4 linked regions of the Arabidopsis thaliana genome follow. The protein of the gene in region 4 interacts with the protein of the main gene of each other region in a pairwise test. Each region holds a gene or a part of one and is shown on either strand. Other genes may lie near its edges.

The links.
Region 1: the proteins of MYB70 (region 4) and AT5G58950 interact in a two-hybrid assay, tested with the Arabidopsis thaliana proteins (one large-scale study listed by BioGRID).
Region 2: the proteins of MYB70 (region 4) and PPR2 interact in a two-hybrid assay, tested with the Arabidopsis thaliana proteins (one large-scale study listed by BioGRID).
Region 3: the proteins of MYB70 (region 4) and LOV1 interact in a two-hybrid assay, tested with the Arabidopsis thaliana proteins (one large-scale study listed by BioGRID).

Annotation. Positions count from the first base shown.
Region 1 is NC_003076.8:23,798,892-23,807,188, forward strand, and holds AT5G58950 (Protein kinase superfamily protein), read right to left. Parts: upstream 4,794-8,297; 5' UTR 4,575-4,793; intron 4,451-4,574; 5' UTR 4,135-4,450; coding exon 3,319-4,134; intron 3,208-3,318; coding exon 2,752-3,207; intron 2,551-2,751; coding exon 2,245-2,550; 3' UTR 1,965-2,244; downstream 1-1,964. Other genes in the region: CRCK1 (calmodulin-binding receptor-like cytoplasmic kinase 1), read left to right, coding at 1-17, 243-529, 638-806, 951-1,040, 1,122-1,420, 1,508-1,825; GIL1 (glucose-6-phosphate isomerase, putative (DUF641)), read left to right, coding at 6,908-6,954, 7,753-7,887, 7,972-8,297.
Region 2 is NC_003074.8:1,954,319-1,961,585, forward strand, and holds PPR2 (Tetratricopeptide repeat (TPR)-like superfamily protein), read right to left. Parts: upstream 3,987-7,267; 5' UTR 3,923-3,986; coding exon 3,596-3,922; intron 3,474-3,595; coding exon 2,340-3,473; 3' UTR 2,091-2,339; downstream 1-2,090. Other genes in the region: ATG8H (Ubiquitin-like superfamily protein), read right to left, coding at 901-989, 1,081-1,199, 1,304-1,356, 1,761-1,816, 1,914-1,956.
Region 3 is NC_003071.7:644,154-652,619, reverse strand, and holds LOV1 (NAC domain containing protein 35), read right to left. Parts: upstream 5,083-8,466; 5' UTR 4,616-5,082; coding exon of another isoform or gene 4,577-4,615; coding exon 4,285-4,576; intron 4,143-4,284; exon of another isoform or gene 3,955-4,142; coding exon 3,686-3,954; intron 2,655-3,685; coding exon 1,971-2,654; 3' UTR 1,800-1,970; downstream 1-1,799. Other genes in the region: AT2G02455 (uncharacterized protein), read left to right, coding at 4,403-4,615. UniProt on the Arabidopsis thaliana protein: Transcription factor that acts as a floral repressor. Controls flowering time by negatively regulating CONSTANS (CO) expression in a GIGANTEA (GI)-independent manner.
Region 4 is NC_003071.7:9,902,189-9,909,191, forward strand, and holds MYB70 (myb domain protein 70), read right to left. Parts: upstream 3,845-7,003; 5' UTR 3,637-3,844; coding exon 2,707-3,636; 3' UTR 2,318-2,706; downstream 1-2,317. Other genes in the region: AT2G23270 (uncharacterized protein), read left to right, coding at 1,123-1,383.

The sequences.
Region 1 (8,297 bases), on a different chromosome or scaffold from region 4:
CGACAGAGAATCTACATGTAAGCAAATTGGTGTTTGATTGAATCTTTCCTAAAACAGCCTTTCTTGAATATCAGGAGCATGCTTTGAATCTCTTAAGCTCTGGTGATGTATGCCGACCATTAAGACAACCAAACTTTGTTACAAACCTGAGGGTCTTTGATGGATGATGCGATATATTTCTGTACATCCATGCTCTCTGTATATCTGTGACAATCTTTTTTCTTTTTCTTGAATATGTGCAGTATCAGGCTGGACTGGTTATTCATCACCAAGCTCCTTTGGAAGGTCAACAGAAAGAAAGGTTTCAGGTCAATATCGTTTTTCTGGTTCAAGATTTCAAAGTCCTGGGAAAGATTCTTCTTCTAGCAAAAGTTGGCATCAAGGCCCGGTAATATTTTCTTTTGGGGAGCTTCAAAGGGCAACCGCAAATTTTTCTTCGGTTCATCAAATTGGGGAAGGCGGTTTTGGAACTGTTTTTAAGGGAAAACTTGATGATGGAACTATTGTTGCTATCAAGCGTGCGAGAAAGGTAGTAGTTGAAATCCTTTTCTTGGAAAATATGTGGAAAACAGATTGAACTAGTTTCTTAAGAATTATTCGGAGAAGACATTATCGATAACTCAAAATTCTGTGGCAGAACAACTATGGCAAAAGCTGGTTGCTAGAGTTCAAGAATGAAATATACACATTGTCAAAGATTGAGCATATGAATTTGGTAAAGCTGTATGGATTTCTTGAACATGGAGATGAAAAGGTTATTGTTGTTGAATATGTTGCCAATGGAAACCTACGAGAACATCTAGATGGTAAGTTGCAAGAGGTACTTCCTTCTTCTTTTACGTGTATATAGAGAAAAATCCAGTCTCTAATTTTAGAGCATAGAGAACTTTCCCAAAAAATAAAATATCTAAATGAATTCTCAACTATTGATCCTCTATATAAAAACACAGGTTTAAGGGGTAACCGCCTTGAAATGGCAGAACGTCTTGAGATTGCAATTGATGTGGCTCATGCATTGACCTATTTGCACACATATACTGGTAATCTTGTCATATTGTTGTCGGTGTTGCATTATAGCTTATTGTGCCAAGATTTAACGCATTAGGGATTTTATAATGCAGATAGTCCAATAATCCACAGAGACATTAAAGCATCAAATATCCTCATCACGAATAAGCTTAGAGCCAAAGTGGCGGACTTTGGCTTTGCTCGTTTAGTGTCGGAAGATCTTGGGGCTACTCATATATCGACTCAGGTCAAAGGATCTGCAGGCTATGTGGATCCAGATTACCTCAGGACGTTTCAACTAACTGACAAGAGCGACGTTTACTCTTTTGGTGTTTTGCTCGTAGAGATTCTCACTGGAAGACGTCCCATTGAGTTAAAGAGACCACGAAAAGACAGACTCACGGTTAAATGGGTAAGTTACTTTCTCTTTTCCCTTTCACCAGAAGCTCGAGATTATCTCAACGACTAAATCAGGAGAAACTCGTTTCATCTTGGGCAGGCATTGAGGAGACTCAAAGACGATGAAGCTGTTCTCATAATGGACCCATTTCTCAAGAGAAACCGAGCCGCCATTGAAGTGGCTGAGAAGATGCTGAGACTTGCGAGCGAATGTGTTACCCCGACGAGAGCTACACGTCCAGCTATGAAAGGCATTGCGGAAAAGCTATGGGCTATAAGGAGAGAGATGAAGGAGACGATGATATGTTCATCTGCATCTAATTCTTCTTGTTCTTCAACAACACATAGCTTCATTGGTCGTGATTCAGACAGATATGCATTGCCGAGGATTGAAGATAACGAGAATAGCATTGAGTAACTCTCTCCTTGATGATATCAATCTGTGAAACATGCTGCTGCTTCTCATTTGAAGAATTTTTTTTACTTAGATGAATACAAATACATGTCACTTAAATTTCTTTTGTTCTTGTATAAATACAAATACAAATTACTTCTGTTGAGTTTCAGAGAATATTCTTCAAATGAGAAAAGATGGATAGTAGTCTTAACATATGTAATGTAGAAGGCCAAAGTAGAAACGATATTTGAATCCCATAAATATCAAATCACAACCATTCCCCAGTTGGCAGTCATTACACATCAAATCCAGAGAAGATGACATTGACGATGAAAGATCACTAACAACAACAATCCACAAAAAAAAAGGATACAACACAAACACAAAACCCTTCTTTTTGTATTATATATAAATTTACAAAAGAGACTCTTTCCTGTCTCTCAAGCGAATTTAGGCTTCGGCAAGGCTGAGCCACCAAGGCCGCTGCTGCTGCTGCCACCGCCTCCTCCTGCGTGGACTGGTCCAAGCTTCTGGATCCAGTGTTTCAGACCTTTCCTTGGGTCCTTACAGATCTTGCTCGAAGACAGATTCAGGTTCCCTTCACGTTCCAGTGATATCGCAAACTGTTCAAGCACTTTCACTATCTGCCAGAACTCGGGTCTCTTATCTGGTGCAACCGACCAACACTGCTCTATCAGAGCTTTCATGGCTACTGGACAATCTCCCGGGATAGCTGGCCTAATGTTCTGAACCAAAGATCAACATTTTTCATATCTCAAATGGTTGAATCAACTGAACAATAAAAGACCTAAAATATACTTGTGCCGGAAGATTTTTGTCTGTTAAATTCTAAGGCTTTAACCGTAACCATTAGACAGTTCTTGTGGCATAAACTCTACGGAAGATTACAATAATGAAATAGTAAGGAGACGCACAGAATATTTTACCTTATGTACGACTGCGAAAGCAGCTTGAATAGGATTCATGTCCTCATATGGGATTGCTCCAGCTACCATTTCCCATAAAACGAGTCCAAAGCTGTATACATCGGCCTTACGTCCATGTGGTTTCCGTTTTATCATTTCAGGTGCCATCCACCTATATGTTCCGGGGTCATCAGCCAACATGTCACAGTACTCCTCCTCGCACGCTATGCCAAAGTCAGCGATCTTCAAATGGAATTCTTCGTCGATCAATACATTTTCTGGCTTAAGATCCCGATGAATTATGCGTCGTGAGTGAATATATTCCATCCCTCTAGCAATATCTATAGCAAACTCTATAAGCTTTTTCAAAGGAAGAGACCTATTCTCAGGCTTGTGCAGAAAAGATCTTAAAGATCCTTCAGGTAAATACTGCGTGAGGACACAATATACAGGCGGATCTTTGTACGCTCCAACAAACTGTTTTTAGCACATAAATAAGAGAAGAGAAGTTAACAAAAACCGTAAATCATTCCATCTAGACTGACATAACGATTAACCAAGAGAACATAACGAGAGAGGAGAAATCACCTTTATAACATTTGGATGGGTCAATCGAGACAAAAGGGTCACTTCCTTGGTAAACTGTTTCTCTAAACGAGCTCCCAAGCATCCATTATCGTCATCATCAGGTACAGTGATAAGCTTCACGGCAACAGCTTTATCTTCATACTTACCATGATATAGCCGGCTGTATAAACCATGAGCAAACTTAAGCCCAAAGAACAGCTTTGACATATCAACACGGAACTCTTCAGAAGCTTCCACAGCACTCACTCTACGACCAGTATTATCAAAAAGCTTAGACCATCCAGTGTCCTTCTTGCTCTTGACCCTCTCTTGAATTCTCAAAGTGCCAAGATCTCTGATAGGACCTGAAGGAGACCGCAAGTTAAATGATCTCTTGTCAAAGGAGTTTTTATGAGATAACTTAGGCTTCATTCCCTTTTCCGATTCCACTCTTCTTGGATGTGGAGTAGAAAATCTCTTACGCTCAGACCTCGCTTCCTTAAACACATCGGGAACAGCCATCTGAGGCGAAGGAGAAACAGATCTCTGCTTATGAGTAACCGGGTTTGTCTGTATTTCCGAATCAACAACATATACATCAGCAGCTTCCAAACTCGAAGTATCTCCCGTAGTCTGTGAGTTACTCGAAACCAACTTAGGATCCGATGATGATGCCGACGACGAAGAAGATGATCTCTGAGGTATAGCTTTTAATCCAGAAAACTTATCTTGGTTTATCATAAAAGGAAGAGAAGCTAACTTTGAAGAATTCAAACGATAAGAAACCGTTTGAGAAAACTTAGCCCTCCTAATCCACGAAGTAGCCTCTTCATCCATCTCTAAGCTCGAAAACAAACTAAACAACCTTTTTATCAAAGACTAAACAACCAAAACTCTCAATATCTCCAAAGTACCTAAGCAAACCCGTGAATACGAATGAGATGACTTGCTGCAATCTCCAACGATCTCATTTCCACGAAGATACAAAATCTTTTCAAATCCATCGAAGCCCCATTTCTCACCTTCAACCATTAATCCACAAAAACTACAAATCATAAAAGAAGAAAACTTTCCTACGAATACTACTAAGCTCGAAATTTCTCCAAACGTTCCCACCAAAATCACCGGAAAATCCTGAATTACATACCTCTTCCTACAAAATCAAGCAACAATACTCAGAAAATCGAATCCATAGAAGCTATTGAAAACGATAATGAGGGTTAAAAGATCGATCTGAATCAACAAATTTAGGAAACTAGTTTTCGATATTTGTTTACCTGAATCACAACAAAAAACTATGAAGCGTCGTCGTGTGTTAAAAGGAAGAGAAGAGGAAAGCCAAGTGAATCGGAAATCAAGAAGATCCGGCGACTTGAAGCCGGAGGAAGATGGAATCGAAGGAGAAATTTGAGAGCTAAACCATAAGACGTTTTTGGATTCTCAAAGACCTTTTTGACGAATCCAGACCTCTTACGCCTTTTTAGATGGATTTTTTTTTTCTTTTTTTTTCACAGATAAAATGTGGAAAATAAATAAATTCTTTTGGAATATTTAGAAAAATACGTTAAAACGACAGCGTATTAATCTGTCTGTCAGCATCTCTGATATGCTCTAATTATTCTGTCTGAAAGAGAAATTTAATTTAGGTTCCCTTTTTTAGTCAAATAAATTCTAAAGGCCATAGACTTCGGCCCATTAATAATAAAACTGGCCCAAATTACTTTATGATATAGGCCATGATGATTGCTTGATAGTAACCAGAAACGAAAGAGGCCTCAACGTTGACAAGCTTCACTAATCCTATGAGAAAAACTCTTCTGTTTTTTTTTTAAAGAACATAATTCACACAAATTAACCATTCTAAACAAGAACTTTAAACTACATAAAACCATTCCTATCTCTTATTCTCAACATTGGGGAAGTGCTTAAACAATTGTTACAAAACAACTTTTGAATAAATACATGCTAGTTTTTTTTTTCTTTGTCAACAACTTTATTAGATTGACTCAAAACAAGCCCATGCTAGGTTTTTATATCAATTAAATTCTTGTTTTTTTTTCAAAAAGAAATTAAACATTGTTTTTTTTTTTTTTTGTTAATTAAAACATGCTAGTTGCATGAAGTTATAAGTTCTGTGATGACACTGTTTTAAATTATGTATTAGATCATATGCATCTATATTTTTTTCTATTTTATTTGTAAAAGAGAAAATTATAAATGCTACTGGCCAAAAATACGTGTGTGTGTGGAGAAAACAAAATGGCCAAAAAATAAATGATAGGAGAGGAATAGAAGAGAAAGAAAGAAAGATTTAAGAGGTGAGTCCAAAAGATTGGTAAAACACAAATGCTTAACAACAGAGTTAATTTTTGGGGACACCACACACATGACACATCACTTTGTCTCCAGACCTATGTCTGTCCTACGCCTTTGGACATACCCTTTTCTCTTTTATCCGATCATCGTATCCTACACACATTATCTCATGATTACTAATCTTGTCTTCCTTTTTTTTTCGGTTTAAAGCAATAAGCGATATGTACACATCGCATACATTAATATTTTACACCACTAGCTATTTTAAGTTTCTTTATTGAACATGTGTACCTAGCTAGCTAGTTCATATGATCATATCAGTGGAAGACTGGAAGATATACTAAATTATACACAAATATACTTTCTGTTCAGCAAATGTTTTTTGAGTCAACTATTACATTTAATTAATGGTTTAAAATAGCGAGCTAAGAGTGGAGTTAAAATGGATGCGACAAAAGGAAAATATTTGAAAATTTGACAACATTTTTAAGATATATTTACAAGAAGTACCAACCTCTGGTCATCATTGTATTCTTCTAAATCGCAGAATACAAAGGTTAGTACAAAAGAATCTATCAAATAATGGGGGTACTGGATTTGTCAACTATATCACTTGGAAAGCTTATGCATGGGGTATAACCAAGTACGAAAGTATAACTTTATTCTTAGGTCAAACTTGCACAAAATATTAGGGTTAAGAAAGTCACCTGAATGATTTCACGGGAACTATATATGGTTAATGAATACCCACCCTATAAAAAAAAACAAGAGTGACACAGAAAGGATACACCATTTATAGACAAACTAGAACTGGCTTAATTTTTTCGTAGCTTGCACAATTTCATATATATTTTTAAGAAAGTCTTATGGAAGATATGTACATTAAGAGGTCATGCGTTTCTGATTTATTTGTGACAACCTCAGTTGAAATCATTTTGCCTTGTTGAGCGTTTGTGATTCTGGCTTCAGTTTTGATTCTGGATATACTTCCAGTGAAGTTAATATGATTTGTAATAACAAACTAGACAACAAATGGCTAGATGTCGAAACTTGAAACAAGAAATATCCCACTCCTCAATTATAATTTCATAATTAAATAATCAAGTTTGATACTTGTCACATCAAAACTCTTTTTCCTCATTGGCCTGTTTCTCTCAAATCTTCAATAAATTCTCTATATATATATGAGAAACTTTGAACCTCATTTTTCATATATATCACTGTTCTTCTTCTATATTGGAGTTCATCTCTTTTGTTTCTAAAGAAAGAGAGAGAGAGAGAGAGAGAAGAGAAGATGTTGCCAGGCATACTATTATGCTCACTTAATCCCAGGAATCACAGGTAAATATTCCTTTTCACCCCAGTTGGAATATCACTTGTGACTAATATAATTTGTTCTTTTGTTTAAAGTATTGATGTGTTTAAAGTGTTTTCTTAACATGGGGTTTAATGATAAATTTTGGATTTATAAAAAGGGGACAAGAATTTTCTATATGATTTGGTTTGGATTAGGCAAGATCCATGACTTTATGGGATCACTTTCTCGTCCAATCAAAAGAGAGATTCCTAAAAAATAGATACTTGAATAATTACCACTTAATAATGGCTATTTTTTTAGAAGAGAGAATACAAAGGATAAATTATAGTCTTAAACATATTTAAAACTACATAATCCATTTTTGTTTCTCATTTTTTTTCTTTCTAAATTGTTTCTCATTAAACGCATGTAAAAACAATATACCTATTGTAAAACTAACCTATGGGCTAATTAAAAAAAGAAAAAGATATTGGTATTTAAATAAAAATAAAAATAAAAGAGGACGACCATGTGTGCAATAAGAAAGTTGTAGAAAGACCCAAAAACTTTCCCCGAGGGCCCAAAATCGAGGTTAAGCTTTTTTACACGTCACATCGATTACAATTTTTTTAAAAGTCAGGGGTCAAAACATAAAACTAAAAAGGGTTAATTCGGTAATTATGATTCAGTTCTTATTGCTCTTCTTCTCCCCACACTGAGTCACTGACTCTATCACTCTCAGAGATTAGGATAGAAATAATCAGAAATCTCCGTCTATTGTCGTCGTCGGCCGGAGATTAATTATTCCGGTGACGTTTAGTTGGTTTTTCTTCATTGTGCAGCAAAAAGAAAAAGAGTGAGCGAGAGAGCTTAGAAACTGAGCCCAAAGACATTGACTACTGGTACTCTGTTCAATTCAATCGAGATCCTCCGAGATTCGCTCTCAAATCTGAGAATAACAATCACCATTCCCGCAGGTAATAAAGCTTCTATTACTTTCCGGAGGTTTGACTCGTTGTTGACTTTCAACAATTTCTGGTAACTTGAACGGCGTTTTGCAGTAAGAGCGGCGGCGATTTTTGCAAGAAGAAGAAGAGAGGAGAAATGGCGAACAAGGTTTCTAACTTCTCGGATCTGATTCAACGAGTTACGGCGTCTTGTTTGTTGCATCCACTCTCCGCCGGCCGGCAAGATCTCGCTGTGAATCGCCGGGAAGAGTACGATACTGAAGAAGAGGAGAATGAGGAGGAAGGTGAGATTCAGTACGAAGACGCATTGGAGAAGGAGAATGGTAAAGATGAGACAATTAGGGCTAAGAACGGAAGGAACGGTGTGAGTGTTGAGACGGTGCAGGAGATGGAGATGGTGATGGACGAAGTTTTCACGG
Region 2 (7,267 bases), on a different chromosome or scaffold from region 4:
CCGACATTGATATTTATAAATAAGAATGTGGCAGTTAATTAGGAATAACCATCTTTTTTTTTGTCAAGGAATAACCGAATCTATATACAAATGAAATGAAAGAGCACAAAAATTCCAAAAAGAAGCTTTGATCCAAATAGTTTTGGACATGGATGGCATCGTAACATCCCCCCAAGAATATACTCGATCAATTATTGGTCTCCTTGTGAAATTTTGTTTTATTTGCTCCGAAATATTGAGTTTAGTTTGAGATGGTGCCAACGCGTCATTAATCACTATTGAACTAAAATAGAGGCATTAATTAAGTAGTTATAAACTCGTTGGAAACAGAAAAGTTTTAAATCCTCATGTTAGAAGTGATGATTAAGAAGGAATAAAATATGTAATCGGAACATAAAATGTGTATAAACAAAAGAGGCAAAATAAACTTGTAGAGAAGATTAACCATATGATGGATGGATATACATAAACAATATTCTAAAAATTGCGGTTTTCTTAAAAACCTTATCGCATAAAACACACAATCCAAGTCGTAGGGTACACGTTTACCGCCGCACCGACATTGCAATTTCTTTAGGTCTCATTTTACCACATCTCCCCAAACTTACGTGCTTCCACGAAAGTATCTATATTCTTTTCTTTTTTTATAGGGAAGAACAAAACGCAAAAAGAGTTTCGTGTGAATCATCATCACTTGGTCTTATTATTATTGCCATAGTTGGATTATACATAATTTACAAAGTCAAATGTCTTTCTTTTTTTTAGCTTTTCTGTACAATGTCAGCTAACAACAACAATAACAGTAACAACAAGAGCTGACGTTATTCACAAACATAGGAATCAAACAAATGGATTATTCAGAGTGCGCTTCGATTTCGATATGAAGCGACAAATCTTTTGTTAGCCGAAAGTTTTCTCGGTGCTGTAGCACATGTACAAGAACCCGTCTTCTTCCTTGAAAGTATTGTAGAGAGAGTCCATGCGACTAGCTGCATAATTCAAGACAAGTGTTAATGGAAAGCTTTGGAAAACTGCAGGTAAAGTCTCACTCTACATGGATGATGATACTTCTTATCTTACCGGTTTGAGGAAGAGTGTTGTGTACGAAAACAAAGAGAGCTTTGGATGGATCTAACTGCATCCTTTTGCTTAGCATATGGATGAAATGTCCAACAGTCATGTCTCGTGGGACCAAGTATCTACAATAAACAAATGCGGGATACAGAGTTAAAAACAAGATTATTCACAGTTAGACAGGTTACACTTGGTTTGGTCCAACAGCTAAATTGATGTCACAACTCACTTGTTCTTCTCCATGTCTGGCAGATCTGCGTTTGAATATTTCTCAATGATCACCTACATAAGTAAATAAAACCCATCCATAAATGCTGGAATCTGATGAAGAAACCAAACCAAGAACAGATCCAAATCCCTAAATCAAATTGGTTTGGGTTGTTGTTGGTGATAGATCAAATCTCAACTAAAGAAGTCGTCTCCGACATTGACCAGAGTGATTGGATCAACACCAAACCGCACAAAATCAGTCAAATTTCAGATCCCAGATCGTATCCATCAAACCATGGCGAAGAAATTCTAAGATTGAAACAGAGATTCTAGCAAATTCGAGAGATGCAAGTCAAACGAAGACTTTTTTTTAATTGAGTAAATCATTCGAACCCTAAGGAAATCCACAATCGCACGGCAACTAAGACGGAAACACCAAGAAACAAATCAAACATGAAATTTATGAAATAACTTACAGGTATTCTATCTGGATATTTCGCAATGATGTTGTTCGACTCCTTCAATCTCTCATCTATATCCTCAAACAAAGATGAAAACTTTGCTTCAGAAGCACATTTCGAAGGAAAAAAAATTCCAAAGAATCAGAAAGAGATTAACGAAGAACAAACCAGAGGAGAATTGATCCTTGAAAGACTTGACAACAATCCCCATTACAGATTTCACGACGAATGATTCCTGACCGAATCGGTGTTTTTTTGTTTGCAGAGAGCAGAGGAAGAGGATGTGTTCAATTTTATGTTTGGTTAGTTCGTTTTTGATTGTTCGAGAAGAAACGGTAAAAGATGAGAGAAAAGAGATTATTTATAGAAAGACGACACGCACTTATCCACTTTTTGGACTTGTCCGATTTCTTGTGCACGTCACAGTTTATCTATGGGCCTCTATTCATAATTTTGGGCCCATCAAAATATATAACACGCATAGCTGCAAGAACAATCAAGTGTATTACAAACTCTTTTATTCTACTCTTTCAAGTGAGACATCGATCTCTCCTTGCAGAGAGAGAGAGAGAGAGATTCACACACAAACCGCAATCATCCTGCCGGAAGATTCTCCATCTCTTTTGTAGCAACAGTGCGATCCATAAGCTTTTGCCTCTCTTGTTCCAAGTAATAGATCTTATCATTCATACCTTCTTTTTCATACGCCTCGACCATGATCTCAAACGTTCTTGAATCGCATACGCATTGTCTCTCCTTCATTCTTATGTACACTCTTTCCATCTCTATCAGATCATCTGCTTTAGCACACGCTGATATCACCGCGTTGTAAAAGGCAGTATTCTCGGGTATCTCAAACTTAGCAGCCAACTGAACACTACTTATCACCTTGTGGAAAAGACCGGCATTGGCATATCCGTTTATGAGACAGCAAAAGGTCTTTGTGTCTGCTTTCATACCTTCGCTACGCATCTGATCAAATGTCAACTCCATGTTCTTTGCATCACCAACATCCGCAAACGCCTCGATGATATTGTTGTAGGTTGATGTTGTCCACGGAAACTCTAGCTTTCGCATGTATTCCATGACAGACGACATCTTATCATACATTCTCTTCTTCCCATAAGAACCAATCAAAATATTGAAAGTCCGAGTCTCTGGCTCAATCCCAAAGTTCCTGAACTTTTCGTACCAGCTCTCCATCATGTCTATCTTACCCATGTTTCCAAACACACTAAGGATGATATTCATAGTCCACACATCGGGTTTGCAAGCAGTACTCACCAACATATCAGACAAAACTTTCTCCATCTGATCAAACCTTCCGACCCTACCGTACCCACTTAAAACTATGTTCTGGGTCACAGTGTTTGGAGTTATCAAACGCTCGTCCATTTCCTTGTATAACGAATCCACCAAGTCAAACTGAGAAGCATCCACACAAGCCTTGAGCAGAGTGCTGTACGTGAAAACATCAGGTTGGCATTGAGGAAAGCTTTTCATTTTATCAAGAATTGAAAAAGCATCGTCGATGAGATTGCTGCGAGTGTAAGCAGCGAGAAGAGCAGTGTAGAGTTCAACAGTTGGTTCAAGTCCTTCTTCAAGCATTTCGTCGAACAGCTTCTGTGCACGATTGGGTTGACCAGATTTACCGAGAAGAACAAGCAGCTTCATGTAAGTTCCTTCCTTTGGTTGATAAAATGTTTGTTCCCTCAACATATCAAAAACCTAAGATCATCAACAAAATACCCAATTCAATCAAAATCATCTTTCAGCTAAATTATACTCGTGATTCAAAATTGAGTTCAAATTCAATCAAACATGAACGAGAAGAGAGAAAATCGAAATACCTCGAGAGCTTGTAACCACTGCTTTTTGGCGATGAGATCGGACAAAGTTTCAGTGACGGTGTTAACCCATCCGTTAGCTTTGCTTCTCCTGTCAAGTTTCTTCTTCACATTCTTTATCGGAGTTCTTCTCTGATTAACCGGCTCCGTGATTCCGGGGAATTCGCCGTCTTTCCAAAGCCTCTTCTTCGTAACACTTCCCGGAGAAGATTTCGAAGCAGCCAAAACGCATCTAACGATGCCCACATCTCTGTGACGAAACCTACGCTTACCTTCGGGGATTCTGGATGAACATAGCGAAGAAGAAAAGGAGAGAGACATTGACGCCATCGTCTTCTTCCTTCACACCTCACTGTCACTCTGTTTACGGATAATTCCCGTCGATACTCATTTCGGTTGGATATGGTAAAATACCGGTTTATATAACCGAACCGGAAACACATTTGATCCGTTCAAATCCCTTAAAAACCGGATCGTATTTTTAAATATGATCACATAATTGATCATTTAAAAATAATACGAGGCTATTTTTTTGGTGTTCAAAAAGATAAAAATAATAATATGAAGCTCGCATCTCTGTAAGTATATATATATATAAAACTAAAAGGAAAATCACGAATTATAGTATCAAAAATAGATTTAATAATAAAAATAAGGATTGGTGACTGGTGCACAAAAGGTGGTAACAAACAAACACAATCTTGACTAAATTCTATAGAAATATCCCAAAGAAAAAAAAAACAAATCCAGAAAAATATTGTATATTGATTTTGATGATGTCGATGTTGATGTGCAGATATTACTCTTTTATCTATTGCTTCCGTTGGAGTTTAGTTTTGTGGCAACAGTCTATTGTATGACTATCTGGGGATTTGGGAGTTTATCCGGCCGGCAAGCATACATTCATTGGTGTTGTTTGCAACGTTTACAACATTGTTATCATCTATCTTTTATTTACCATAGTAAGCTCTCTCTCTCTCTCTGGCTCTCACTTATTGATGAATATATAGATAAGTAAACTATTAAACTGGTTTTGATAAGTTTTTAATGCGTGAAACAATTAGGACAAAATGCCGCCGGAGACTAAGACCTTCAAGTACATGCCGTTTTGGCTATCGTTAGTTCGTTTCATCAACGCTGGAATTTGGACTGCTTATTCTTTGATCTACATAATTGATATCTACGTCCTTGTAAGTCCTTTTTTGTTTTTGTTTTGATCTACATAATTGATATCCTTTTTTGTTTTTGTAAGAAGGGCGAGCTAAAGAGTTTGAAGAGCTTAAAGGCGAGCTGAAGAGCTTAAGGCGAGCTGAAGAGCTTGAAGACGAGTTGGAGAGCTTGAAGACGAGCTGGGGGACTTGGTGAAGAGAACGAGTTGATAAGCTTGACGAAGAGGAGCGAGCTAACGAGCTTCTTGAGAAGGGCTCGCTGACGAGCTACTTGAGAAGGACGAGCTGACGAGCTATTTGAGACGGACGATCTTCGTGAGACGGGCGAGCTGACAATGTGCTGTCTCGGTGATAGTCAAGCGAGACGACACGTAGTCCATATTAGAAAGGGGTCAAGCCACACGTAGTTCATATTAGAATAAGTGAGCTAGGCCGTCATTGGAGGTAGGTCGGCAGGTAGTTGACGAGCCGGCAGATGTGCGACAAGCTGGATGAACCGTGGTAGAGAGACGAGTTGGATAAACCGAGTTGTTTGCTGAAGGTCTAGACGAGCTGGACGACGAGATAGGTGGACTATGCAGTCAATGGACGAACTGCCGCTAGGCGAGGAGGTAGATGAGTTTTGTTTTCGAGGGATGAGCTGATAGCTAGACGAGGAGTTGGACGAGCTGTATAGATGACAGCTAGACGAGGAGATGGTCGTTGAGTGGAGCATGAAGACGAGCTGAGAAGCTTGAAGACGAGTTGAGGAGCTTGAAGACGAGCTTAGCAGCTTGTTGAGCTTAATGGCGATCTGAAGAGTTTGAAGAGCTTAAAGACGAGTTGGAGAGCTTGAAGACGAGCTGAGGGACTTGGTGAAGAGAACGAGTTGATAAGCTTGTCGAAGAGGAGCGAGCTAACGAGCTTCTTGAGAAGGGCTCGCTGACGAGCTACTTGAGAAAGGCGAGCTACTCTGTGTCTGCGTGTCAGGCGGAATTCCCCCCTTCGACATGACATGCTATTCCGTATTTATAGCACTACGCGTGTAGGGCATTCATCGAGGGATTTGACGAAACTACCCTTCGCCTTAATACTCCTCCTTGGTTTGGAACTTATTTTGGGCTTTTGACTTGGGTTTGGGCATTGGGCCAAGTAGGCCCAATCCGACCCCTAATAGTTCGGCAAGGAGGAGTATATGATTTTAACCCCCCCCCCCATTAAATCTCCTGATACGTATTGAAACTTGAGGGTTTATGGTTTATGTTATGTTTCACTTATTTTGATCGTGTGTTGAGTTTTGTAATGAGGATATTATTATCATGTCTGTTACTTTTGGACTTGTTAAATTTTCGTAAACGTTGTTGCTTTTGTTGTATCGGGGCACACTTATCCGGATTTATCGATTATGCAATTGCCCTACTACATCACATTATTATTTAAATTTGTCTTCAAGTTTTTATTTCGCATAGCACATATATAAAGAAAACGCTTCGTTCAAACTCGTCTGTGAACTCCATAAAACTTATTAAAAAATCCGTCCAAAAAAATATATAGTATAGTTTGGATCGCATGAAAACATATCTAAACATAAGTCTTTGTTAGGGGTCGGATTGGGCCCTTCTCAAGTAGTTCATCAGCTCGCTCCTCTTCGTCAAGCTCTTCAGCTCTTCAAACTCCTCGGCTCGTCCTCAAGCTCCTCAGCTCGTCTTCAAGCTCTTCCCATCACAGCGACCATGTCCTCGCCGCCTAGCTGTCAGCTAGTCAGCTCGTCCAACTCCTCGTCTAGCTATAGCTCATCCCTCGTCAACTACCTGCCGACCTACCTCCAATGACGGCCTAGCTCACTTATTCTAATATGAACTACGTGTGGCTTGATCCCTTTCTAAGGGTACGTAGGCAACCTTTTACAAGGTTCAGCTATAAAACGAATAAACTCTATTCTTCCTCGGACATTAAGTTCGTCTTCCGGCCTCAAGCTCGCCTTTCATCTACAATCAGCTCGTTCTTACTCCATCAATGCTCGTTGAAGAAATCATCCTTTGAAATCCGTCCAATTCGCCTAAGTCGCAGGCTCGTCTTTAATAGAAAGATTCTTCCTTCCCTAGAGATCCCATTTTCGTACTTGTGTGATTCGTGCATCAACAGTTGGCGCGCCAGGTAGGGGGATAGCTCGAAGATATCTCTCAAAACTACGACCCCGCGACGAAGCAAAGTGACAACAAACAGACTACATGGAGCATTCGATACCGACTCGTCAGGCTCTGGAAGTAAAACGACAACGTCGATCCCCGGGAGAGCCAGTCACTCGACCTCTTCATTCGATATCGCAGCATGTTCGACAAGAAAAGGACTTCAAGGAACTATCGACCCCATCATCCTAGGCGATGACACTTCCAGCCCGGCAGTCAGGACAATAACACTGACCAACGAGGAAGTGCCGCTGATTAAAGAGGAACATCCCATAACCTCATTAAACATACCGACCTCGTTATCACTCACGCCTAACCAAGAACAAGAGGAGAAGTCA
Region 3 (8,466 bases), 9.3 Mb from region 4:
AGCTACAAACCCTAAAACGATAAAACAAAAGGGACCGATCAAAGATTAATTTTGGGGCTGAGAAGTAATATTAATAAAGACAACATTGTCTATTTTATTATTTTTGTATTAATTAAATAAAGACAACATTGTGTATTTTATTATTGTTTATGTAATAATATAAAATCTATTTATTAATTCCGATCTACATACCCTATTTTTTTCCGAGCTACATTCCCCACTCCCAAATTTTACATTATTTTTATTTTGGTCAAAGACATTTATTTAAATTTTATTTTATTTTTAAAAGTGTCGACGAAAAAAACATGTATTTTTTTTTTTTAACATATTCATTTCCATTAATATTACGAAAAAAAAACATGTTTTTATACGTAGGCTGAGGCATCCAAATTGATCCACAAATTTGGTTTTTGTTTTCAATTAACTTGACCTTAAAGATAAAAGTTAAAAGTTAAAACATTCAGGTCCATCTTGTATTGTACAGAAATAGCATGCCTGGCCCATTAAAGGATAGTGGGCTTTTATAGTAACCTAGGGGAAATGAGATTTGAAGTTTTCAACGATCATCACATTCACGTATTTTGAAAGTTTTTTTCACGATATACACCAGAAATAGATATTTTGAAAGAGAAAGCTACTAAAAAACGGAAAACATTTTGCCTTTTATCACTCAAAAAAATAAAAAATTCATCAAATTTTTAATTATTTTATTGTTTTTATGTGTGATTCTAGATGTAAGAATTAAGAAACGAACCAATATTAATCGGATTCGTTATCTTTGAATATTTTTGCGTTAAGCACGTCGTACTAGCTAGCGAATACGTTTACCGCAACTGTAATCTAATTCGTCACAGAATATCAATGATGTGGTATAATCAACTATAATCTTCTTTTTTCTTTGGGCAAAATCAACTATAATCTATGAATATATACTTACTAATATAGGTGATAGACATATATTATTTAAAATAATCTAAGAAAACATGCAAATACGGTTACATCGACCGGTTAGAAAGGGAAAAAACTTTAAAATTAGTACTTTCGTATCATATTCAAGTCAGTATATATTAGGATTTTGCCACATTACATATATTATTAAAGATTGTTAATAATTAGGATTAAAAAGACTAGTATGAGAGTTAAGTCAAGTTTAAATTTGTTTTTCTCATTGAGAAAAAGGGAACTGATTTCTTACAACATACAACTGTTCATGCTGGTCATATCTGACAAAATCACGGGAACAACTGCTCTTACCAAATATTGCACGTCCTATGCTTTTTTTTTTTGTCAAACCCTAATTAGTCTTATATTTACAAAGACAAAAAACTAGCTAACATCTTTTATCTTTATATATTTCTATCTCAAAATTAGTTGTTGAATTCTTAAGAGTTAGTGGATTGTTTATCTATAAAGTCGCACTAACAGGTAACTAAAATTAAACATCTTGGATCTAATGCATGTAAATGACAATGCAAAATGAATTCTAATAAGTGATGAATAAACAACAAAAAATATCAACATTCAATTTGAAATTTTGAAATGGAATGAAGACCAAATTAAATATCACTAGGTTGGATTTACGGTTACTATTGTTATGGTTTAGTTAGTGTTTGGTTTTAGTCTGGTTTCGGTTAGGGCTCGTACATGAAAATCTAATCCAATAAGTTTATTTCTTCTTTGGTTTGTTTGAGAACTTTTGATACGGATTGCACTCCTTAGTCATTTTGTATTCATATATTACAGTGAATTTTTTTTTTTTAACTACGTTGAATCTAGCTTAAAGAAATTAACTTTAACACAAGAAAAAAAAAACTACTTAATTGACTATATATGTTGAGAATCAGTTCCATTACATAAACTCGCAGTAATCAATCATTGTCTATCGCCATAACAATATATAAGGAGTATGAAAATATGGCAAAGCAGCATTAATAATTATTGTCATGGATAATAATCATGATCTAATTAAATTACTTAAAAGGAATATTAGTATAGTGATCTCTGTTTCCATCTGGTACTATTGGATTCCACATATCCCACAAAGCATTGTTTGGAATCGTTCCTGCAGGAATCATGTTCATAGCTAACGCCGCTTGAGTTTGAGGCATTAGCGTTGTCGCTGTAGTCGCCGCAGCCACCAATTGTAATGCGTTTGCGTTAGCATTTTGTTGTTGAGTATGATGAAACTGTTGAGCAATTTGAAAGTATTGGTGATTGATGTTACCTCCATCTGATATTTGGTAGTTAACTAGTCTTTGAAGATCGTCAACAATGGCAGTTTCATCATCGTCTTGATGATTTCTCGTAGAGACTATCAATGTGTTGTTGCTTGTGTCGTAAGGCATTGGACGATATATGTTTTGATTGGCTAGAGCAATGGTAACGTCAGAGTTACTGTTTGTGGTCGTTGTTGTTGTGCTGCCGTCGCCGGAATATTCGGTGGAGAGCTTCTCGAGATTGTTGATGTTGTTGTTGTTGTTAAGGTTGTTGTCGGAATGATTAGAGGAGGATGAATGGTGTTGTTGTTGTCTTAAGGCTAAACGGGATGATGTCGATGAGTTATGGTTATGATGTCTTGTGGAGAGAGAACGTGGTACCGATGGATGATCTTCTACTCCTGGCCTTTTGTACACTCGGCACAATGATATTTCAGCCTATAATTATACATGAGCACATTGATTAGAGACTTGATACATATATCAAATTATCAAATATAGACTAACAATATCTATGAAAAATATCATTTATCGAAGATATGGTTTTGAAAGAAGATTCACAAACTATGTAAAGTTAGCATTAGCAAAAAAAGATAGCACGTTTAGAAGAAATTTAGAGTACTATCATATGACGTAACAATGCAAATATAATTAAGATGATTATATTTATTATTTTTTATATATTTAATTGCGTAATTTTAGTTTTATTAGTACAAGTGAATGTGCAATACATACACATAGATAATTATGTCAACCCTGTTGTTTTAGCTGTCTTATGCATACATCATAATATCATATATATACATAGAAAATTTTATAAATTTATGGTTTCAAATGGTGACGACATATAAGTCGAAAGAGCCCAAAAAATGTATTTATCTATCCATTGTCATTTTCCGTATACATAATATTTTTTCGGTCTACTCCATAAACCGTTATCATTCGTATAGATTTTAAATGTTCGCATATAAATATGTTGGTATAATTCATATATGCCAAATTATTTCAAAAAATGTTGGGTAACTTAAATAGAAGACATGAATTAATGTGAGGAAGAGCAGGAACATTCATGTCATAAATTGTAAGAAAAACTAACTATGTCTCTGCAGAATTAAGGTATATGAATGTCGAGTGTGATACTTGTGTGTTTATATATATGTGTATGCATCTATCTATTAATGTATTCTACTATAACATATGGGCCATGTCTAGCAATTTAAAGAGTTCACGCATATGACATGAACATTTTTCTGGATTTAAGCGCAAACGCCGCCTGACATTTAGTCCATTCACAAGTATTTTTGATCTTATCGAATCAATTCCAAAATAAATAAATAAAACTAGTCAAAAAAGAAAAAATTCAAACTGTCTAGGGATTAATTTCAATTTTAAAGGCCTCACCACCTAGCTAGGGTTATATCTATGTATGTATGAATAGGATATATATAGAGTTATAGTAGAATTTATACCTTTTGGTACTTCTCGGTTTCATGGTGCGGAAGACGATACTCGTTCATGATCCAACTAGTACGAGTGCCTTTAGGGGCTTTACCAGAGTAGAAAACTAGGGTTTTCTTTAATCCGATAGGCCGAGAAGTCTCCGATCTGATCATCCTATCAGCTCCGGTGGCTTTCCAATATCCTGAAGTCGTTACTCGGTTCGGTCTATCTCCATTTCTATATTTCCGATCTCTTGGCACATAGAAGTACCACTCTTTCTCTCCTATCGCCGCCATAGCTGCATATACATATATCTATGATTAAACATACATAAGCTAATTATGAAAACATACACATATTTGTATATCTTATGATATATATGTAGGTTGTTTAATTAGGTTAATTTAAGAAAGAAACTAAAGAGGGAGAAGCGTTTAAAGATATTGAGAATTGTTAACGATCGACATAGTAATACTTCATAAGGAGGTAGGTACATATATAGGTTAAAAAAAAAGAAATAGAGAGAGAAAGTGATAAGAGAGAAGAAAGATCTTAACATATGAATAGAAATTAAGATTTCCAAATAGTTTGAGATGATTTATGTGTGTTTATGTGAATGTATATTTACCAGGAAGTTCCCAAGGATCATAGCGATAAAGATCGAGGAAAGTGATGAGTTCTACATTAAAGCGTTTGCCTTCAACTTTTCGGCGAAGGTAAAACTCTATGAGTTCTTCTTCGGTAGGATGGAATCTAAATCCGGGCATGACCATGTCATGATCATGATCATCAGCTTCATCTTCATTTTGGACATGACTCTCTTGGCCGCCTCTATGATCATTGTCTTCTATACCTTTTTCGTTATTGTTGACTTGGTTACTCATGGGAATGATGCTTGTTGTGGAGGATACAATTGCCATATATCAAAAAGACTAGATATGTGTATGCATGTGGATTAAGGTGATATATGATGATGAAAAGTGATTAAGGGTTTGCTTGGTTTTTATACTAACAATGGAAGGGAAAAAGAGAGATGAAATTGAGTGGTGTTGAGTAGAGATAAGAGGAGGAGAAGAAGAAGAGAGGACGACTATATAGGAATGAAACGTCATCGTTTTTGGGAGTTGAGACCAAACTAGAATAAGACAAAGAGAGAGAAGAAGAGAGTTAAGGAGGAGACAAAGACTTGTCAAATTGAGGACAGGGTGTCCACGGTTTTGTTTTCTTAGCCGTGCCTTTGGACCTTTCTCTCACTCTCCATTTCTAGCTTTTTGTTTCAAAATAAAATAAAATATCTATCTATTAGTTTTATGTATTTTTTCTAAATACTAAAGTTTCAAATATTTAATAATTATTGGGTTGTAACACAAATGAAAAGAACAGTTGATATCTTTTACAGGAAAAATTAAAGTTTATGTATTATAAACGAAAAAATATTTTGAAACAATATTACGAATTGACATCTTTCAAATGGATGTCATGGACCTCATGGTTACTAGTTCAATTATACTTGGAAAAAATAATAATTAATGTTTTAAATGCAATATCAACAATTGGTGTGGACATACGAAAAATATAGACCGAAAGTCTAAAATTCCCAAAAACTATCATTCTTAGAAAAAATATATCATGGTTTTCTTTATAGTTTTATTTGCACATGCACCATCTCATGCACGTTAAAGATTCATTAGTTTTAGTTAGGTATATGATTGGTATTTTATAAAGACAATCTAAACTTTAGAGAATAACAAATTAAGTTGATTTCATGTATAATTTATGTGTAAATAGTCTATATTTTGTTTTGGTTTTTGTTCCAATCCATCGCTACAAAAATTGCGAAAGTGTAACTAATCTAATTCTCCTGATCAAGGCATAGCGATAAAGGATCCATAATAATTCATTGTTATAGGTAGACTAATTGAATAACGGATATTCTTAAAACAATGTTAAAAATTTGGATTATTATAGTTAATTTATTCATCGTTGAGACAAAGAATTCTGATTGGTGGCCTATATTACTAATTAAATAATAATATCACGTATGCTTACTATGTCACTCGTCATAAATATATTTACGTGTTTTTCATATGCTTCAGCTTCACGAACGTTCTCTTATTGTTTCGCTATTTTTTTTATGATATATTTGGCCCACCATATCTTCATTGCATGATACTACTATGTCTTCAATTATGAATGCAAAACAAACTGACCATGATTTTGCCAACGCTCTCCATGTTCCTATGACTTAGTAAGAAGCTGAACTTACAGTACATATGTTAGAATTTAGAAACCCGCCAGTTCTTTAAAATTTGTATTAATATATATAGATACAATATATTATATTTAGATATATGTATCTATAATCTATATGTATAATTGTTCCATTTTATTAATAATTCAAAAAAGTAAATAAGATATAGACACAAAACAATAAACATCGTAACAACATTAGCATATATATATATATATATAGCTGAGCTAAAAAGGCTAGGCAAACTGTAATATATTTAAGTTCATCATGGAAAGATAGATAAAATATATACTAAGTACAAATTTCATACTTACAAGTTTATATGGAAAAATGAATTTAAAGTATCAACGTAAATGAGATAATGAATGAAATTAAAGTGAGGTGGTAGTGGGGCTTCTACGAAACGAGAGTGGGGTTTTTAGAAACCTTACTCTACGTTGTAATGACTTCATATTTTATATTTTTATTTTGTCAAATGTTTCAATGGATGTCATGGACTTCATATTTTTTAGAAATCCGTGAATGCATATATCTCATTCACAACAAATTTCATTGGATTGAGCTCAGTGTAGACAGACATTTTTCAATATGGATGTCGCGTACCAAAAAAGCTTATGAAACGTGGAAAAGATAAACTATTCAACAACCATTAATTAGACCATTGCGATATCAGAAAATGAACTTTTTTGTGTTGTTAATTCGAATCTTCGTCAAGAAAATTATCTAGTTACATGATTTTTTTTGTTTTTATGTTTAAACAATTTATAATATATTTACTACGAACTAATCAAATAGTAAATCAGTAGACATACACATATTTCAAAAATTATTATACCAGTTTAGTTTACATAAATGTATAGCTTTTGGATATATATTTAAGGTTTTCATTAAAATGAATGTAGGTATGAAAGGAAATATTATGTATGACATGGAATCATAGGCATGGACCCTTCGAATATTGATATCAGTAAAAATATAAAATGGCGATAGAAATTAGGAATTAAATGTATTATAAGAGAGTTTAAAAGTAGATTAAGCTAGTGCATAATTTAATGCAAGCGAGTCTTCCATCGGTTTGGCTTTTAGCTAGGGGTAGCAAGTAGGGTGGCGGATATTATATAATGTACATTCCAGAAGATTAAATCATTTTTTCAGTTTAAAGTTTTTGCAATTGTAAAAAATTAAGACCTTTTAATTTTAATTCGAAAAGAACATATATTTCTATTATTATATATATGACATATTATTAACTTATATTTTGTCTTCTGATTATTACATTTTCACATGAGTTTGTCTTCGTTAAAGTTTTAATTATTATATACTATTGTACATATACAGCATAATAGCAACTCAGCAAGGGATTACTTTGAAAGTCTTAGAATCTTCAAGCTTACTATTTGGCTAAATATGCAATATATATACACGCCATTAGTTTGTGCTTTAGCAATTGATTTAACCAAGCTGTAAGAAGATAATTCGTCTGGTAATTGTTGTACCATTACTCTGTAAACTTTGGGTTGTACTCTTCATTTTTTCTTGCTGTAAAAAGAAAAAAAAAACACCTAAAGCATGTAAAATTCTCATATTGCTTTAAACCAAAACAAAAAAGGAAAGATACAAAACGTGGTGAGAAAATATAATATAGTTATAGAAGTTGTGAATTTTAGAAGGGACACACTATATACACTTGAGTCTGATTGGAAAACAAATGTTATAAAAGTGCATAATAGCTGTAAGAATTTCCTACCGATCATACTTTTGCTTAAATCAATTATAATATGAAACGAGGAAAAATTTAAAGCGGGTTCGAGAACAAGAATTTAAGGATTTGAAATAGGATGATGCTAGAATAGGTCCAGTAATAAAACCCCTAAAAGTCTTATGCGATCACTATCACAAGTCTTGTCCTAACTAAAATAACACTTTTAACCAATTATCGATTCGTTTTTGCCCAGAATAGAATTTAATTGGATTTGGTTACCATCATTACAATTTCATTGGTCATCAGTTTTTGTAGTTAGGTGATTTTAGTTTACTTTTACAAGTAATAATTGAACTTTAGTATTTCATTATTCCACCAACTTTATTATTATATACTAGTATAATAGGCACACTCTTATGATTATTGACCCTTCTTTTTCGCAATAATAAATATATTTCAGATTGTTTTGGGATGTATCTAGATTCCAATGACATGTATGGACAGATTGTTTTAATATAAAAAAAGTATATGCTCTCCAAATCAAGATTTGGATCGTATCTTTTACATTCTTGTGTGCTATTAATTATTAAACTTTCGATAACTTAATAAAACAGAAATTTGAATCGGTTAACCAACAACACTATCTCGTTTCTCATCAAATCGTGTACTTAAAATAATTAAATTTATAGTGATAATATAATTTGGATATTAGATTTTATGTAATCCACAAACATCATTTTCAAATTAATACTATATTAGTATATTAGTCAAACTTATTAAGTTTATATTGAGTATCCTTCACTATCAAATCTCTCTTACTTTTTTTTTTTCTTTTCTCTTTTTGGGATAATCTCTTA
Region 4 (7,003 bases):
CATAGGGAATAGGTGAGTCTCGTGTTTTTTTATGTACCATCCAACTCAGATCTCATTTTCGGTAATTTCTAATCTACAGGTTTATTTTCTTTTATAACCAAAACCAATGAATGTGAAAATATAAAGAAAATTTTACAATGTACTTAAAAAGAAAAGTCCTCCATACACATATTCGTCGTCATACATTAAGTTCCACTAAACGATTTTTAAGGATGGTTTTGAGAAAAAAAATACACACACAAAGGTTGAAATATCAACAATCTGATACTTCGCTCATGAACATTTCAAAGAAGGCTACTTTGAATGGAAATAACAACAACGTGAGAAACAAGAAAAGTACATAGATAGATTGGTGGGGCCTGAAATTTTGTAACATCAATCAAGTTTGATGCCCACCCAACAATTTTAATTTTCAACTAAAAACTACTTCGACCGTTAATTTGGTAGAAGTAGTGAATTTAGTATTCTTTCAAATTAACGGTCGAAGTAGTGAAAATGGTTATGAAAAATTATGTAACTATTTAGATCATCAAATATATGTTTGTGGTAATCAATCCTTAGAAAACTCTTATCATAAAACATTTTTGAGTTAATGTCATCTACAGTGATTATAGTATACTTGAAGGAAGGTGAGGACATTAGGTTTTGTCACAATATTATATAGATAAACATAAAATACCATACTAGATTTGAATTCCACACATAGTTTATGGTCTACAACTAAAAGTCTATTCCAAACAATCAGAGACAAAATTAAAATCATTTAATTTCTTCAGCCAAATAACTAATCTCCATTCCTCGTTGATGGCTTTATATGTTCGCAAATTATATTTTTAAAAAGAAATTGGAAGACCAAGAACAAGAAGCAACCTCAGTATTTTCCCAGGAAGGAGCCTAAAATTCAAATCTCACGTCTTGTTGAATTTTAAGCTTATGAAGTCAAAAACTGAAAATGTCAAACTTTTCTTCTTCTTCAAGGCTCTTCACTTTACTATATATTCTAACTCCCAAGTCCACAAACTACTCACAACAAATTTAGTCATCTCATAAATTAGGGAACACAAGAAAAATAAAATAAAAAACATTTTTGTTTTTACTACTCAAAAATACCACTCAAAGAAAATGATGATGAACAAAGTTGTTTTGGGTTCGTTTCTGTTTTTCATGTTGGTGAGTTCGAATTTTGTGGTGGAGGCTCGTCCTTTGGGTTTAACGAAGGCTGAAGAGAACCTCGTGGCTAAGTTCTTCGATGGTTTGTCACTTGGGGCGATTAAGGAGTCGGGTCCTAGCTCTGGTGGTGAGGGTCATCGGTTCGTGGACCGGACTGAGACGCTTGAATATGGTAAGCATTCAGGTCCCAGCACGAGTGGACCCGGTCACTAAGTTCCCGACCGAACCAGTTAATGTGGCTGCTTTGGTCTAGCTCCGGAAATTGATTGCTTTGTTTAGTTTTTTTTCAGATTAATTATTCAGATTTTTCTTTTTATGCTTAGAACTTGGGAAAATCAAGAATTGGAAGAACCTCATTTGTTCTCTGTAGGAATATTCTTTTGTTAACTTATTGAAATTCATTTGATAATAATGTACAATGTAATATATATTGTAATTAATTTATTATTCTGATTATGTGAATGAATAACTGGATATTCATGTTTTTAATGAGTTTCAATAACAACATAGTTAAGCTCCAAATCCACAAAGCAAAAAGAAGCGACTTAACTTTAACCTTCTTCTGAGTGATAATCACCTAAGCTTACCTCTTTAACAGCTACATCCACTTCAACTTTAACCAAGAAATCGCGATTTCCGTGGAAATTGAAGTTAACCAATTCTTTAGATAGTTTCTGAAGGATGTTGTTCCGGATGGAGCTGTGGAAATTTGGCTTGGACAACAAGTTATACACATATCTAGTGCATATTTCTTCTCCATTATATAGGTAAACATTAGGAGCCTTACGTGCAAAGCAATTGAACCCATTTATGGACATCATCAAGCAGGAATTGATGCAAGTGTGACTCCTTGTTGTATTGTATGCCAAATTGTGAAAAGGAAGCATTAGTTGTAGCAGCTGCTATGGAGAAAGGTACCATACATCCTATTGGAAGGTATTTGCTTGTCAAACATCAGTAATCTTACACCGCTTGATAGTTATTAACACAATCAAACTCTTTCTTTTTTGCAGAGCCACAGTATTGGGAAGGACCTCCCTTGTGCTTTGAGTATTTCCCCGGTAGAGGCCTTACTGCTACAGTTAGTTGTATTGAGGTGATCTGTTCTACACTCTGTATCATTCATTGAATATCTATATATGATGTTGTCTCTCACACTATAACCTTTACTGCGATGCTATAGTCGGTAACCGAAGGTAACAAACTACGGAAATCGTCACTTGGTTCAGTAGAATTCATTACTTCACTCTTCGAATCGCAAGACCAGTCTAGAGAGATCAAGAATGCTGTAAACTCCTCTTTGTATGGAAATGACTTTGTTCATGCTCTTCTTTCACTTTATCAAAAGGTAACATTGATTCACCTCGAGGACCAGCCTCATCAACCCTTTTATAGACCAATTTCATTAAATCTAAGACATGTCATGATCAAAATCAATACATTTATTCAGTTTTTTTTTCGAATGAATCAAATCTCAAATCATGAAATTGGCTCTTTCTCTGCATTTGCTACACAATTCTTCTCTTTTCTCACTCACTACTCGATCCTACCTAATCCAATAAACTCTCTAAACCCTACATTACGACCATTAGTTCCTTGCACCATACACGAACTTGCTCCTCCTCCAGCTCCTCCGCCGTTTCCTAGCTGTAAATCCGCCATGTAACTCCTAACCTCCGTCTTAATCATCTCCTGCACCACCGTCATAAAATCTCCACCAAGTCCAGAAATCTCTCTTTCCTTCTCTTCTTCTTCTTCTCTCTTCACCGGAAACAACTCCGGTGGAGTTGTTGACTCATTGACCCAAGGCAAAGACAACCTCAAACAAGTCATCGGATCTTTCTCCTCCTCCTCCGGCGATGATGACTCAATCACCACTCCACCAGCTCTCGCCGTCGGTTTAAAAACATGACAAGAAGAAGAAACCGGTAAAACAGATCCACTAGATTGCGATTGCTCGCTGACGTCAGATCCCGTTGGACTTAACGCCGTCACCACAACAACTCCTCCTCCACCACTCGCCCTCCGTTTTAACGGTTTTTCATCAGTTAAATTACCATCATACCCTCCATTACCACCGAAATCACAACTCTGCCCTTCCTCTCCTCCGCCGCCTCCGCCGCTACATTTCCGCTTCAGCGTTGAGTTCCAGTGATTCTTAATCGCGTTATCAGTGCGACCATTGAGAAGCCGTGCAATCGTCGCCCACTTGTTACCAAACCGAGCGTGCGCTAGTATAATCGTATCATCTTCCTCCGCCGTGAATCCACGGTGCTCTACCTCCGGAGAAAGCTGATTACACCAACGGAGACGGCAAGATTTACCGGAACGTCCAGGGATTGATTTGCTTATCAGAGACCAGTTCCTTGGTCCGTGCTTCTGAACCAACGATTGTAACAGATCGTCTTCTTCAGGACTCCATGGTCCTTTGATCCGATCCATTTCTTTCCGGGTCGAACCAGACATCGCTCGGATCTTCTTTTTAATTTAAAACTAATCAAATCGTTTAAAACGCGTTTCTATTGTTTGGGGATTTTGGAAAAGAACGAAACGATTTTTGTTGAGAGGATAAGTATGAAGAGGAGAGAGTATTTATACGAGGTGTGATGGTTAGAGAGGTCACCGGTTCTACCGGTAATTTTTTATCGTTAGTTAACAACAACTTAATTTTTTCGTAACTGTAAATTGGATTATTTACGTGCATAATTATGTTTTCAACTGAATCAAATTGAAATAAGTTAACTGACACCAAATTAAATATGTAAGTATATGCCGTTTTGTTTTATTATTTTAAAATCCAGAAAACTGAAATTTAGTTTGAACCAAACAAAATAAACTCTAAACTAAAATTTATTAAAATATATACTATTAAACAAATTATTATGTAATGTTTTTTTAATGAATGTTAAATTATAACTAAACATGTACTGTATTTCTAACTATAACTAAACAAAGATATTAAACTAAAATCAAATCATATTACATCAAATTATAAATGCAAACCTTTTTCAAAAAATAAATTCAAATTAAAAATTCTTATATATTGTAGTTATGTAAAACTATTTAGAAAAACTACATATTTAAGTAATTTTGCGTAATTTCTAAATTGGATTAGTTATGAAGAAGATGTAACGTGAGTAGTCTGATACGTATTTGAATATTTAAAAGAGAAAGAAAAAAGCACGTCAGGGAGTGGCGGTGCGATTGGGGGAAATGCGTCTGAGAGAGTGAGGCTAAAATAAAGAGAGAATCTTTCCAAGAAAACGGTTGGGGATTTGGGAAACAGCTGTTAGTGGGGACAGCTGTCAACGAAATATGTAACTGTGTGTGATAGAGAGAGTACATTTTGTGGTACTTGAGAGCGTTTCACAGGTGGATCGTTTTTTTATTTAATTTAAATCATTTCGTTTTTAAGTTATTTCCTTTTTTAATTATCTTTTCTTTTTGCATTTTGAAGGTTACATTCTTTGTTTTTCCTTTGCATATCAGTGTTGGTATGGTCGAATTTTTGAAGATTTCTATTTAAACGTAATTAGATGCACATTAATTATCGTTGTCGTATCTAAAAACGTATTTAAGTTTTTTCGGTCGTTTTATTTGTCGGATTATAAAATCTTTAGTTTAGGTTGTGAAAGATTGACTCTTATCAAGACCGTCTTTACCCCATGGCAAATTAGGCAAATGCCATGGATCTATTACTGATTTTAAAAACAATCATAAGCATAAAAGGCCCAATTTTCTTAAAACAAAATTTTATTAAGAGATTTTAGTTTTTATTTTTATTTTGGCAAAGGCTCAATTATAGCTTGAGACGGGACTGTTTCTTATATCGATAGAAAGTAATTAATGTTATCTTTGGTTTGATCGCATATACTTAATAAATTTTATCCGTAGTTATTTCAAAATAAAGGATTTATTGATTCTGAAGACTAATGTTTTTTAAAGGGTTTGTGTTTAGTTGCTTATGATTTTAGTTGTTGGGTTCGGTCTCTTTCGATTTAAGTTTAAAAACTTTTGTTGGTATTTTCATTAGATTTAGAAAAAATTACGTTTTCCTTCGACTTTAATTATAAAATCATATATGTCGTGTGTCGTTTTAGTTTTTCTTTTTTGAACGTTGTATTTTGTATTGGTTTCACAACAAATTTAAGAATATTTTTATTTTTTATTTTGTTGTGTGAAAACACATTTTGTTTTCAATTTAAAAGCACTGAAACACAAACGTCGCTTTTTTCGAAATTGTATTTTGCGTATTGAATTGACGTATCTATACATATTAGAAACGTATAAGTAAAGTATCCATACTTATTGAGTGATTCCAGTTTCTTCTGTTTTTGTTTTTGATTTTCTGATTAAAAGAAAAATAAAACGAAGATAAGGATGACGTTAAAAGTGGTTTAGGTTTTTTGTTGGATTCTTCAGAGACTTTTCTGACTAAAGAAGCCAGCCTGTATGCCAATATTATTACTACTTTTTATATACAAAAATCAGTTATTTTGGATATTCAAAAAGATACTAATAAGATTCTTACGTAAATCGAAAACGACAGGATAGATCGATTAGAGTTTTGAGAGCCTATCGTTACTATTCATTGTTTGATATAAGCTAGTTTAACATGTCTAAAAGATTTATGTTGAAGTAAAGTTCATTTCCTTTGTCGTTTTATTTGTTGTCAACATGATACTCATATACAAAGGAATACGTTAAACCGTACATCAGCCGTGTACCGCACAAAAAACGTCGCCTGCACATGTTCCAATGCCAACATGAACCTTGTCGTGAGCTTCCTCATTCTCTTCTTTCAAGTTATAGTTAGATAAGGTAAGAGATATCGAAAAGAGTTCTTAAGATTCTGTTTAATTATCGAAGCCAAATTTTATAGATTAAACAAGAAGGTGTCATTAATGGAGATACGGTATGAGATTTTCCCTTATTGGTCCATCGTATCTACTACCAAATTCTTCCTTCCCATAATTGTATATACTATTACCACTAATCATTTATGTAGTTGGTATTTTCTTATTCAAATTAAATATTAATGACATTGACCGAGTAACATGTATAAGTGTATGTGTGGTCCGCAATCGTACTTGTATATCTCATTTACTAACTCTGCATCCCTTCACGTGAGATTTGATTAATGTTTCTCTCATTATCCTGATACCCTACACGTTTTCTGAATAAATCTACGAACATGAAGTGGTATGCATTGGAAATTTTTAGGCGTATGAGTGTTTTTTCCCCCATTATATGATATGTATCTCAATGTGCTTTTGTTTTTTTATGATTTTCAACTATAGTAGTTTTTCATGATAATCAATATGCTCTGTCCCTTGATGTATCATACAAGTATTACTTTGTGATGTAGTGAATGTAATACATTATTAAGTGGTACGTCCATCAAAGTATTATAAAACAATAGTTTTTTCCTTTAAGAAAGTACAACTTTTCATTACGAATTTTGAGGGAGAATGTATTGTAACTCAATTCTTAAAATTATATTCTTTCACGAGAAAGGAAATTATTCCGTTCGGTCTGTGTCAATTCCATTATATATACTCACATCGAGACGTAATATCTACTTTTGTCGAGAGAAAAGCATGTGACTGCCGGAACAAAAAAAGCATGTGACCATATATCTCTCAGTTCCTTGTAAAGCTATCTCTCGAAATGAGTTTATTTAAAAGTATTCAAAAGTTCTTTGTTCAGGTTCAATGTATGTGTGAGCATATTCCTTTGGCAATTGATATCTATTAAACCAAAGTCGGAAATTTTTGTAAGGATATTGAAATATTGTCTCAAGTATTTCGTTATCAGAAACCTTAATAGATAT